2 linked regions of the Cricetulus griseus genome follow. The protein of the gene in region 2 interacts with the protein of the main gene of each other region in a pairwise test. Links are inferred from orthologs where the notes say so. Each region holds a gene or a part of one and is shown on either strand. Other genes may lie near its edges. The genes, in order: Bex3 and Ccdc116.

Evidence for each region.
Region 1: the proteins of Ccdc116 (region 2) and Bex3 interact in binary tests that used the Homo sapiens proteins (3 or more experiments, as listed by UniProt). The two-hybrid records come from large-scale screens. The link is inferred for Cricetulus griseus from reciprocal best matches to the Homo sapiens genes CCDC116 and BEX3.

Annotation. Positions count from the first base shown.
Region 1 is NC_048604.1:44,092,007-44,097,881, reverse strand, and holds Bex3 (protein BEX3), read left to right. Parts: upstream 1-2,231; 5' UTR 2,232-2,391; intron 2,392-2,732; 5' UTR 2,733-2,815; intron 2,816-3,193; 5' UTR 3,194-3,221; coding exon 3,222-3,566; 3' UTR 3,567-3,814; downstream 3,815-5,875. UniProt on the Homo sapiens protein: May be a signaling adapter molecule involved in NGFR/p75NTR-mediated apoptosis induced by NGF. Plays a role in zinc-triggered neuronal death.
Region 2 is NC_048597.1:72,177,829-72,184,386, reverse strand, and holds the start of Ccdc116 (coiled-coil domain-containing protein 116), read right to left. Parts: upstream 4,289-6,558; 5' UTR 4,190-4,288; coding exon 4,085-4,189; intron 3,128-4,084; coding exon 2,591-3,127; intron 2,489-2,590; coding exon 1,898-2,488; intron 555-1,897; coding exon 1-554.

The sequences.
Region 1 (5,875 bases), on a different chromosome or scaffold from region 2:
CTCAAAACAATTTGGGGGAGGGAATGGGTTATTAGTCTCACAGGTTATAACCCAACACTGAGCTAAGCCAAGGCAAGAACTGAGGGTGAGACAATGGAGGAGTGCTGTTTACTGGCATGCTTTCCATGGTTTTCTCCTCTGCTTTCTTATAGAACCTAGGACCACCTGTCCAGGGGTAACACTGCCCACAATTGGCTTGGTTGGTCCTTGAACACCAATCATTAAACAAGAAAATGGTCACAAGCTTGCCTACAGTCCAATTTAATGGAGGCAATTCCTAAATTGAGGGTCCCTCTTTCCAGGTGACTCTGGTTTGTATCAACTTGACAACTCACCAGCACACCATGCTTAAAAGTAAAGGCAAGTACTAAGCTGTAATCAATCAAGCTGTCTCTCCACCTCAGCTCTGTTTTCTGTACATTCTCATTTCTGTCCAAAACATGTGGCATGACCATGTTGAAGAACAGCATCTCTGAACCTGTTTGGGCTTTATGGGCTTCTTAGTTTGTAAATTATTCCTTTGTTCCAGTTGATCAGTTTGTCTAAACTTTTTCTTTTTTAAAAAAGGAGTCTTGTTACCTGTGAGACAGAGTCCAGAAATGACGAGCATTACTTTAAAAGGCAATTGCTGCCTCTGATTTTGCAACTTGAGATTTTGGAGCTATATGGTAACATCTCTAAACTCATAATTTTAGATGTAATATACAAACCTTAAGACACCAAGCATTTGCATTTTACTTCTCCAGTATCCCGCCTTATTTATCAGGAGAGGAGACAGTATAGTGGGGCCCAACTGCTACCTCTCATAATGAAGTTATTAAATTGAAAATAACAACACTATGTTTCCAGAAAACTATCTTCTAGCTGTGATAATTTTTTAAAAGAAGATGATTTCAATGGCGAGCCTGTCTGGGCCACAGAGTGAGACTTAGTCTCAAAACAAACAAATAGCCAAAAAACAAAAACAGTGATTTCAGGGTGGAAGAAACAGTTGTATTCAGGATGAGTTCTGGTATAAATACAATTGCTTCGTTCATCTTTTGCTTATTTCTAATATTTTTGAAACATTCACACCAGAGTAGGAGGTATGGGGAGTAAATTTCTAGATTATTTTCTATTTCTCAGTTCATTAAATATTTAGAGAGTAGTTTGAAAGGTTTGGAGAGGAAAGCAAGGAATTAAATGGCTCTTTTTCCTGAGGATTATGGACTCAGAGAAATCTCATATAATACAGGCACATGGGAGGCAGAGGAAGGAGGCAGAGGCAGGAAAGATCACCCCAAGTTTGAGGCCATTCTGTTTGATAGAGTGAGTTCCAGGTCAACTGGGACTACATAGTGAGACCCTTTCACAAGAAATCATAAAATTATGACCTCTCTGAAGGAACTATTTCAGATCAATGTTAAAGCATTAGCTGTATTCAGCAAGAGCCCCTCCTTCTTAAAATAAAAAAAAAAATGAAACAGACTAATACAAAACAGCCATTCAAAACCTAGAGAATGTATTTTCTGTGTGATACAAACAGGTTAACATAAACAAGTTTTTTTTTTTTTTCGTTCTGCAGAATGAAGCATTTCTTTCAAAGCTGAAAAATTCACCAGCCTTGGTGGTGCAGGCCTGTAACCTTAGCTACAAGGGAGGCTGACCCAGGAGGATTGAAAATTCAAGTGTAGCTCCAACAACATAGACATGCACTGTCCTCATTTTTTTTTTTTTTTAAGTTTAAAAAGTGTGTGTGGTGGCAGGGCTGGAGTGGTCTGGGAATACAGCTCAGAAGAGAGCTTGTCCAGCAATTATGAGGCTAGAGAGAGGATCTATCCCTGACATTCCAAAAAGGAGTGACCCTTATAATTTTCAATTTTCTCAAGCATGTTGTGTGTGTGGTTTTTTTCTTTTTAAGGAAGTAAAGAGATGTATGTACAATCTACACTATTCTCCACTTCAAGGTGTCTGTTGGGAGAGGTCTTGGGGAAAAAATTTGGCTAAGGTGGAGAGGAATCTCAAAGAAGGCTAAAGCCAAGACCTGGCTATAATGGGGGGCGGGGGCAGCAGAGATGGAGTATGGTGCAGACTCTCCCTGGTAACAGGGAAGGGAGAAGTCCAACCTCCAGACGGTGATGCCACTTGTGGGTCTTCAGATTGGCGAGGATCTGGATGAGTAGAGGGTGGGGCCTGAGGTGCTCGCTTGCGGCGGGGAGGTGGAGGCGGGGCCTCCTGTCGCACTGGCCTCCTGAGCTGGGGAGCGAGCTTGGCGGTGACGCGGGGCCCTCACGTGACCTGGGGCTGCAGAGCGACGCAGCCTTGGGTGCAGTCGTCACTTGTGTCTGGCCACCAGCTCGGTGCTTCCCTGCGCAGGGCGGGCTGGCATCGGGCCCTGGGCGAGCGGAGCAGGTAAGAGGCCCGCACGCAGCGGCCCTGAGGACGACAGCCTCCGGATGCTCCGGAGCGCTCTGTAGGACCGTGCAGCGGCCGCGCGGCTTTCTGCACGGAAAAGAGAACAGTGGCTGCGTCCGGGAAGGGGCGCCTTGCTTGTGGAAGGGCATGGCGGGGGTCTCTGGGAAGGGCTGGTTGGGCCTGCTAGCGGGAAAAAAAATGCTAGACCTGGCATTGGAGAGCGGCGAAGGGAGCCACTGGCTCATAGAGATTGCGGGCGCCCAGGTAGGGGGATGGGCGGGGGGCGGGGGGCGGTACTGAGCTCCGCGCTGAGTCGCTCCCATCCCACCCTGTTGCAGGTCTAGTAGCAGAGTCGCGGCGGAGCCGGAGCGTCTCGCAGCGACAATTGAGAAGAGGACTACGCGGCACGGGATAGGCCCAGGTCGGTTCAGGGGTAGTGTGTGTCGGGGGGGGTGGGAGGGTTCGGCTGGAGGAGCATACGGGAAAGCCCTGACTGGGATCCCACTGAGACCCCCCCCCCTCATCCTACTCTCCATCTCAGTCCTCCATTTTGGTGCCTGCAGAGCTCAGGGAAAGGATCCTGGGAAATAAAAAATGGTGGGCTTTGGAGGAGGGAGGGAAAAGAGAGCTGGGGGGAGGGGCTCGAAATGGACGCTCCCTAAAGGTTGCCTGGAGACTCTTAAGATGTGGGGGGAAATAAAATGATAATGAAAACTTTTGTTGTTAGTCTCGGAATATTGCTGGTCAGTGCACCAAGGATTCAGTTTCTTTCCTTGCCCTGTCTTACTTGTGTTCAAAGAATAACAACCAGAAAACAAAATCTCATCATGGCAAATATCCACCAGGAAAACGAAGAAATGGATCAGCCCCTGCAGAATGGACAAGAAGATCGCCCTTTGGGAGGAGGTGATGGCCACCAGCCTGCAGCAAACAACCACAACCGAAGAGGACAGGCTCGCCGGCTTGCCCCTAACTTTCGATGGGCCATACCCAATAGGCAGATTCATGATGGGTTGGGTGGAGATGGAGATGATATGGAAATGTTCATGGAGGAGATGAGAGAAATCAGGAGAAAACTTAGGGAGCTACAGTTGAGAAATTGTCTGCGCATTCTTATGGGGGAGCTCTCTAATTACCATGATCACCACGATGAATTCTGCCTTATGCCTTGACTTCAGCCATTTTCCATGAGATTCATACTGTGATTCCCAATGTATTCCTATTCCTTGCATTTTCCTGACAATGCCTTTACTAATCTTTGTGGTGAGCCTTGTGTTATTTCCATGTGCCAGGTGGGTTTTTGTGTTGCCAGCTTCTCTAACTGGAGATTGCCTTCCCACTCAGTGTACATTTCTGTCAACAATACAGTGTTGCCCATTTGCATGGAAAATGTAAAGTAAATAAAGCAACTGAAAAGCAATCTGAATATTTATTATCGTCTCCTTAAAGCATACATACTTACATAAGAAATGAACCACAAAAATTCTGAAATTCAACAGTATTGGGGATGGGGCGGGGGCGGGGGCACATGCATATAATTTTCCTTTTGTTTGGAGTTTCATAAACTTTTTCAGTGATGTTATGAATTTATTACAGGTATATATTTGCTCAACAAAGTTAAGGCATAAATCCTCATAAATACAATTTCTCAAGAGTGTCCTGTAGTCTCTTCTGTGACGTAGTGGTGAGTGGAGTTTTGCAAAGGTGTGGAATAAATGAGATCAGGTGTGGGGATCTGCTGGCTTAGGTTTTTCCCTACTTGTTAGCCGGCATTCAATAAGCCCAGGCCTCCAGCCCTTACCAAATAGTTGGGGAGAACTGAGGGGAATCCTCAGTCCTTGCCCATTCTCCCAATTCCATACAGGAAAAAGAGGTGTGTTCCTCCATGTCATTTGTATGTTGCAATTGCACTTCTCTGCTTACAGGCATATGATTTAGGCAAAAATCTCCTTCTGATTCCTGTTTTCTGTAATGGGGATGACATGCCTGCAGTCCTCTGCATAGCTAAATCTAATTTGTTTAAAGTATGTAGTGACTTCGGTATGATAGTGTGGAAATGCCTTTATAACTTGACATATTTATCTAGGTGGATTCAATCCCTATGGTTCTTAAGAAAGTAGCCCTTTCTGGTATTATTTTTGTGTTCCCATTTAAAAAGCTCTGGCATGGGTGCAGTGGGGCCTAGCACAATAGATAGCAGATGTCTTTGAGGGTTATGCCCAGAGCTGCATTACTGTAAACCTCCAGAACACAAATAGGCTAACAGCTTTATGGTGGTTCTACCCTGCATGGATTTCCCTTAAAGCAGCTCTCAGCAGGTCTGCCCCCCCACCCTCCCCCAGTTTAATGGACTTCCTAGAAACATCAGTTTCATTGGGGAACAGGCATTCTCTGGCTGCATCCTGTTTGTCCCATCCATACCAAAACATAAATGCCGCTGTGAGCTCTTTTTTTCACTTGTTTAAAATTTAAAGCCAATCTTTTCTCATTTTACATACCAATCCCAGTTCCCACTCCCTCCCTCCTCCTGTTCGCCCCATCTTCACCCCACTCCACCCCATTCAGTCCTCAGAGAGGGTAAGGTTTCCCGTGGGGAGTCAAGGAAGTCTGGTGCACACACACCTCTTTAAGGCAGTACTGAGGCCTTGTATCTAGGCTGTGAGAGTATCCTTCCATAGGGAGAATTGTCTCTAGCTCATGCACTAGAGATAAATCCTGGTTCCACTGTGAGCAGCTCAACAGACTGCCCAAGCCACACAACTGTCACCCACATTCAGAGGGCCTAGTTTGGTCCTATGCAGGATCCCCCACCCCTGTGTCAGTCTGGAGTCAGTGAGCTCCCACTAGCTCAGGTCAGCTGTTTCTGTGGGTAACCATTTTGGTGATACCCACAAAAACCATTGTGAGCTCCTAAAAACCATGTAAACTATTTAATTTATGATTTTTATGTAAAGGTGTATCCTCTAGACAGTAATATTGTCTCAATTTTAGTTGAATAGTCAGTGCCTGACAGAGTAATCGGAAATTGTTGATTATTCTGATAGGCTAAGTACAGTGGAGTTAGAAACCCTGTTTGATACTGTTCCTAATTGACTCTATGAAAGAAGGCTAGTAATCACTGATCTGGGAACTTTAAAACAGCACCCCAAAGAAAGTCTTTAATCCCATATGCAAAAAATTATAGACTTTATAATATGTTCGTGTTTATGGGAATACAATGCACCTACCTGTACACATAAGGGAAACACTAAGATTGAATTCTTGACACTTGGGTGCCCTTCTCAGCTTTGTTGTCCACTGTTAGCAATCTCTAAATCACAGATTACTTTTATATCAGTGACCCAGTTGATTTTTCATGTCTTAAGTTTTGACAACATAGGTACAAAGAAACTGTCGGAAATCTCACCATTTTACAAACATGATCTGAATTCCTTTACTTGATTACACAATGAATGTACAGTTCTAAAATTATTAAATTGGA
Region 2 (6,558 bases):
ACTGAAGGGCTCCTGGGCATCTGTTCCTGGCCTACACCAGGATCCTGAGGGTTGAGCAGCTGGTGGATTGGCAACTCATGGCGGAGGGAGAAGGGGGGCTCTATACTCTGGTCCTGATTGGTGTTACCAGTATGCTCTGGTTGCACAGAGTGGGATTCTGTGCTAGGCCGAGAGGTGCCAGCACGGGAGACATTATGATGGGAGGCTCCTGGCCTGGAGGCACGGTGTATGGCCTGCCGTGCCAATTCAGCTTCTTCCAACTTTCGCAGAAGACAGGTCCAGTTGATGTCTGAGGACAGACGGATGTGGGTGCCCTTCACCTTCTTGAAGCCCAGAAAGATGTCCATGAGAACCTCAGTGACAGGAAAGGAGACGAAGCCAAGTTGACTATTGAGGCTTTCCTCAAACTTGTACTTGGAGATAAGCAAGGAGATTGCCTGCTCAATCAAAAAGTTAGTGAGTTCCTCAAACCAGGGGTTAGAGATGTAGGACAAGCTAGACACAGATGAGATGGACGGCAGAGGTTTCTTCTTCGGAAGCTTGGTGCTGGGGCTCTGTGCAACAAGCAAGGAGGAAAAAGGAGACATTTAGCTCTTGCTGCTGCCATTCCTCCTGCTGCCCTGTGAAAGTGCATTGTTATACCCTCCTTGGCAGCTGTACCAATCCTCCCCATTACAGACAGGGAAGCCACACACATTGCACTGGGATACAGACCTGCCACACCTGCTCTGCCACAACAGTCATTCCACAGGCCTCACCTGTCAGGTCTAGAGCAAAGCCTGCCAGCCTGGCCAGCCTGTGCTCCTGCAAGCTTGTGTGCAGAAGGAATTACATTTGAGCCCTGATGATGGTAGGTTCAGAGATGTCCATGACCTCCAAGGGTCAGGCCACCTATGTCTTCATACACATTTCCTGACCAATGTCCCCTTTACCGAGCAGAAAGACTAGTCATCGCTGGATTAGGATAGCTTGACCTGGCTTGACCCTAGAATAGAGTGGTGCTCTTGGCAAAGGTTCCTGTCCATAAGAGACATGTGGGAGAGACTCTGAGATTCACAAACAAAGCCAGGTGGTGTCGGCGCATGCCTTTAATCCCAGCACTTGATAGGCAGAGGCAGGGGAATCTTTGAGTCCATAGGTCAGTCTGGTCTACAGAGCAAATTCCAGGACAGCCAGTGCTACACAGAGAAACCCTGTTTTGGGTAGTTCAAACAATAATTTTTAAAAAATACCCAAATTGCAGGCATGGTGATGCATGCCTGTAATCCCAGCATTTGGGAAGTAAAGGCAAGGATATAATGAATTTGAGAGAGCATCCTGGACTACATGACATCCTGTCTCAGAAAAAAAAATTGAAGGGTAAAAATAGCCTTTATTAATCTTTGACATCCCCTGGGGAAATAGGTAGACTAGGCTTCTCCATCCCCAGAAGCTTGTATCTACTCCAGGAGATTTCTGCAATGCAAGGCAAGAGATCTTGCCCTTGGGCATCAACCAATGACAATGGCTACTAGATGTGGTGGGAAAAGGAGCCATTTCCCTGCAAATGTCCCTCTAAGACCTCCAGCCCTACTCTTGCAGCCAGCTCTGGACACATTGTAGTAGAATAAGGGGAGAAGCAGAATGGGGAGAACATAGGAAAATGGGTATGGGAGGGAAGAAGGCTGTGGGAGGCAAGACAATGCTGGATCGGGGGCCTGAGATGGCCCTGGCAGGAGGCCATCTCCACTCTAATACCAGGGTCAGGCAGGGTGAGGTGCAGGCCATGACGAGGATGAGGTAGCTGATTGTACCTTGGGGCCAAAGTTGATTTCTGTAATTTGGGATCAGAGTCAGGGAACTCCTGCATGGAGTGGAATGAGGGGCTAGGGACATTAGGCACCTGTGCAGGTGTCACCTTGAGCCTGAATTTGGTAGTCATCTGGGCATTAGACATGGAGGGGGAGTCCCGTCTGCCCTTGCTTTTCCTGCGAGATGTCTTAGGGCTGGAGACTGTGGTGGGAGAATCAGAAGGCTCCTCCCCATCCCTGCTGTTGGGTTTGGACTCGTTCTGCTGCAGAAGATCATAGTCCCCAGGCATCACTGGGGTGGGATCTGAGTCAACAGGGAAGAGGGGGAAGCCATTATGGCGGCAGGCATGGCTGAGCTTGTCTACCGCCTGGCTGACTACACGCTGCAGGGCAGGAAAGAGACGATGCTCAGCCAGGAAGTCCAGGGTACGATGGGGCTCCCTGAGTGAACAATACACAGGCAGGTTGAACGATGCTGGCTGGTTCAGCAGTGACTTTATCTCCTTGGTCAACTCTTCTTTGAGGAAAATCATCTCCTGTTCTCCAAGTCCCAATGTTTCAGGGGTGGCTGAGTTGGAGCCCAAAAGCCCAGAGAACCAAGACAGGGGCTGCTCTCGGGTCCACTGACTGCTGGTCTGGCTGTCCAGTGAATCCCACGGTAGAGAATCCCTCTGGGGGCAGGAATGATTCAGGCCTTTCTGCAAAAGAGAGGGGAAGGCTGAGGTGTTCAGCCAGGTATAACCCTAGCCCTAAGCTCAGGCCCACCCTATGCTAGCCTTAGCCATGGCAACAGATCTCACCCCTTTGTTCTCAAGTCGCAGTAGCCTCTTGAGGTTTTTCTCAAGCAGGAGTTTGTCCCTCATAGGTGGCAGTGAGCCTATGCCACGGGGACCAGGAGCAGTGTCCTGGTTATGGGAGCCCAGCCAGCCAGCTGAAATGCTGCTGTGGGAGTCGGACATGGAGCTGGAGCAAGATGGGTAATTGTTTGGGTGCCCAGCACACAGCGTGGGCCGAGCATGGTGTCGATGCACAGTGCGTCTGGCACGAGTCCGCCTATCACTTGGCGCCTCCAGCGGGTCTTGTATGTCCACCAGTGGCACTCCGGCCTCCGTCTTGGTGGCAGCCAAATGCTCTGTTGCCTTCTCCACCACTGTCTGCAAGCTGTCCAGTACCTGACCCTCTGTCAGGAAATCCAGGAAGGTGCCAAACACCTGAGGGGGCCTAAGATTTTGCTGTTGGCCCTGGTGTTCTGAGTATCGGTACATTGATGGTAGGTGCGGCACATGTCCAGACTTGAAGGTTGGCTCCCTTCCTGGCAACCGGTGCTTCTTGGGCAGCTGCATCTGAACAGACAGGCTTGTCATAGCAGGCAGGATGCTCTGCAAGGGGTAGGGGCTATCTCTGGAGTGCCCCTAGGGTGCTATTGAGGGCTGGGTGGGTTTGAGCAATGGAAAAGACTTTTTCCTTTTTTTAAGTTTGTTGGTGCTGGGGGTTGAACCCAGGGTCTTGAACATGCTCTGCAAATGTTCAACCACTGAATTGCATTTAAACATTTTTAACATTTACTTGTGGCTATGTGTGTACGTGTGTGGGTATATGTGTGCCTCAGTGGACAGTGGAGGTTAAAGGACAACTGGTTGTAATTGGTTCTCTCCTACTCATGTGGATCTTGAGGATTCACTCAGCCCATCAGCCTTGAGACCAAATGCCTTCACTTACTGAGACATCTTACCAGCTCTGAATTACACTAAAAGTCAGGTAATCCTGGGTTTGAATTCCAGCTCTGCTACCTTCAGGCTGGGTGATAGTGCTCAGAGCAGCCCTTCTTCGGGACTTCTTTGCAAAGTAGGATATTACTAAAGTTGGCCTGAAGGTCCCCAATCCTATATTTCATATATGCTAGGCCTATCTGGGAGCCTGAAAATGGAAACCTGTGTTCATGGTATGAAAGGGCAATTGTGAGAACCATCTTCCCTCTCTGCCTCCTCCTGCCTCTAGTACAAATTTGCACTGTCTTCTCTGCTCTGCTACCTTGAGGACTTGAAACTGCTTTTCCACCTTGAGTCCCCAAACTGACTCCATGCTCCTTCTCAGGGCTCCTAGCCCACCCAAGAACTACCTGAGGGCCAAGGAGAATAGGGTGTGAAAGAATGATCAGGGCGTAGCAAGATGGCTTAAGGGGAGTCAAAGCTACAACAAGGGTGTCTCCAGCTGACCCAGTGAGATCAACTGGAAATGAGAAAGCAGTGGAAAGTGGCCCAGACACTAATGTCGGGTCAGCTAGACATACTTACCCGAGCCATGTAGGCGTTGTGACCACCTTCATCGTCAGCCAGATATCCTGCCTGGTGGTTGTGGTGGTGGTTGTGGTGGTGGTGGTGGTGGTGGTACCTTGCCATGATGTGGGTAATTAAATTTGTGTTTTGCTTCCTTTCTCAGGTTCCACAGCACAGATGCAGACTCCTCTGAATAGGGCGGGGAGGGGTAGTAAAGGTAGATCCGGGCCTCCATGGGTCCCTCACTCCTGTACCCTATGTCCTTCAGACATCCCACCCTTCCCCTGCTGGGACCCACCAAACATCTGCGGACAGTCCCAAGTGGTTGCCTTCAGTTTGCAACTGTCTGGGACGGGGGTGGGGGTGGGGTGTCCAAAATTCCTTCTTTCAGACCAGAGGCGCCCTGGAGCTCCAACCTGCTTACCAGAGTCTTCTCTGTGCGTGCTTCTCGGGGTTCACTGGGTCAGCAGCACCCTATTAAGGACTGCCGCACAGTGCCCTGGAATGCCACTCCCCCGCACAGCCTCTCAGCGAGCTCATTTACATACTTTGTTCTGATTGGTCAGAATCTTGTCTCTCGTTCATTATCTTCCCACAATGGTTTGGGGTGGGGCCCACATTGGCTCCTCCCCAACCTGGCTGGCTTTTTCTGTCACGCAGGCTAAGCAGTGCTTGGGGATCTTTAGAGGTCTGACTTACTCTGCCAAGAGGTCTGAATCTGGGTCTTGTTTCTCTAATCCTCAGGGTGAAAGTCATAGCCTCCACTTATGCCACAAACACCTTTCTCAGCTCATCCCTGGTCGCTGCACAGACTTGGACCTACGACTCTGTTGGCCTCCTTCCAGGGTTTCTTTCATCCAGTGTAGACTAGCCAGCATCTTCCTTCTGAGACTTTCTTTTTGGAAGCCGTGAAGAGTCCCGGTTTTCCACACAGACCTAGCTTCACTTCCTGTCCCTGTTTTATGGTATTGTTTTTGCTGATATGATTCAGCCTCTCAATACTGTCTCTAAACTGAGCTGAGCATCCTTCCACAGATGAGTATTACATTATGTATATGTATATTGGTTTTTTTGAGACAGGATTTCTCTTTGTAGTCCTGGCTGTCCTAGAACTCACTCTGTAGACCAGGCTGGCCTTGATCTCAGAGATCTGCCTGCCTCTGCCTCCTGAGTGCTGGGATTAAAGGTTCGACACTACCACCCAGCTACATAAAATATTCTTTCAATACACATTGCACCTTATGGAAACTCCATATAAACTTACCTCTACCTTTTTCTTTCCTCCTTCATTCTAGAAGCTTGTCATTCCCAACAGATTCACAAACCTGTCCCCCACTGACACATTGTTTCTTTCTTGTCTAACTGCTGGTACTTTCTTAGTGCAGGAATCAAAGCAGTGAGCCCTAATTTCTAATGACCCTGTTCCTGATACAATATGTGCTTAGTAGTTTCCTCTTCTCCATCTGTGGTTTCAGGGCCCAGGCCCTCAAGGTCTCTGGCCTTTCCAAGAGCAGTCTCCCAGAGGGACACAGTGGCTGGATGACACCTGATGGTTCAACAGTCACCATGACTGGACACAGCAGTGTTACACCAGGAACTTGGCTGAAGGGTTCTCTGAGGCCTCCAACCCTTACAAAGCATCATCAGGTACTGTTAATGATTAAACTGTACTCTTTCCCCTCTGCCTGTGATCCAGGGGGTCAGTCAGGATGGAGGGAACCAGAATAGGTCAGGCTCCAACCTGTAGAGAAGTTCCTGCTTTACTTCTCTGGTGAATCTTCCACTGCCTTGGCTATGAAACAAACAAAATTACCAATATCACAGGCTTGACCCACGTAACACAGGTTCTACAAGGAGAAACCAAGACAGGCTGGCAGAGTGCTTGCCTAACATGTATGAAGTCTTGGGTTTAGTTCCCTGCACCACATAAACCAGAAGCTACTTGAATGAATAGTGAGGTCAGCCTGGGATACATAAAACTTCCAAAACAATATCAAGACAGCCACATTACCAAGCAAACACTGGCAGTCACCATGGTGACTATTGGTAAGTCATGGGTAAGAAAACTTTACTGGGAGCTGGACATTGGTGGCACACACCTTTAATCCCAGCACTCGGGAGGCAGAGGCAGGTGCATCTCTGTGAGTTCGAGGCCAACCTGGTCTACAGAGTAAGTTCTAGGAGAAGAAGAAGAAGAAGAAGAAGAAGAAGAAGAAGAAGAAGAAGAAGAAGAAGAAGAAGAAGAAGAAACAACTACTTTACTACTTTACTGGGCAAAGAGCAAAAGTGAGGCAAAAGTTACCTGAAGCTCAGGGTGGAAATGGGCTAACACTTTCTCCAGTGTGGCCACTGGTTTGCATGATTATTTTCTTATTATGTAGAGCTTTTAGGGCCAGGCAGTGGTGGTGCATGCTGAAGCTGAGGCAGATGGAAGGCCAGCCTGGAATACAGAGTGAGTTCCAGGACATCCAGTGTCACACAGAGAAACCCTG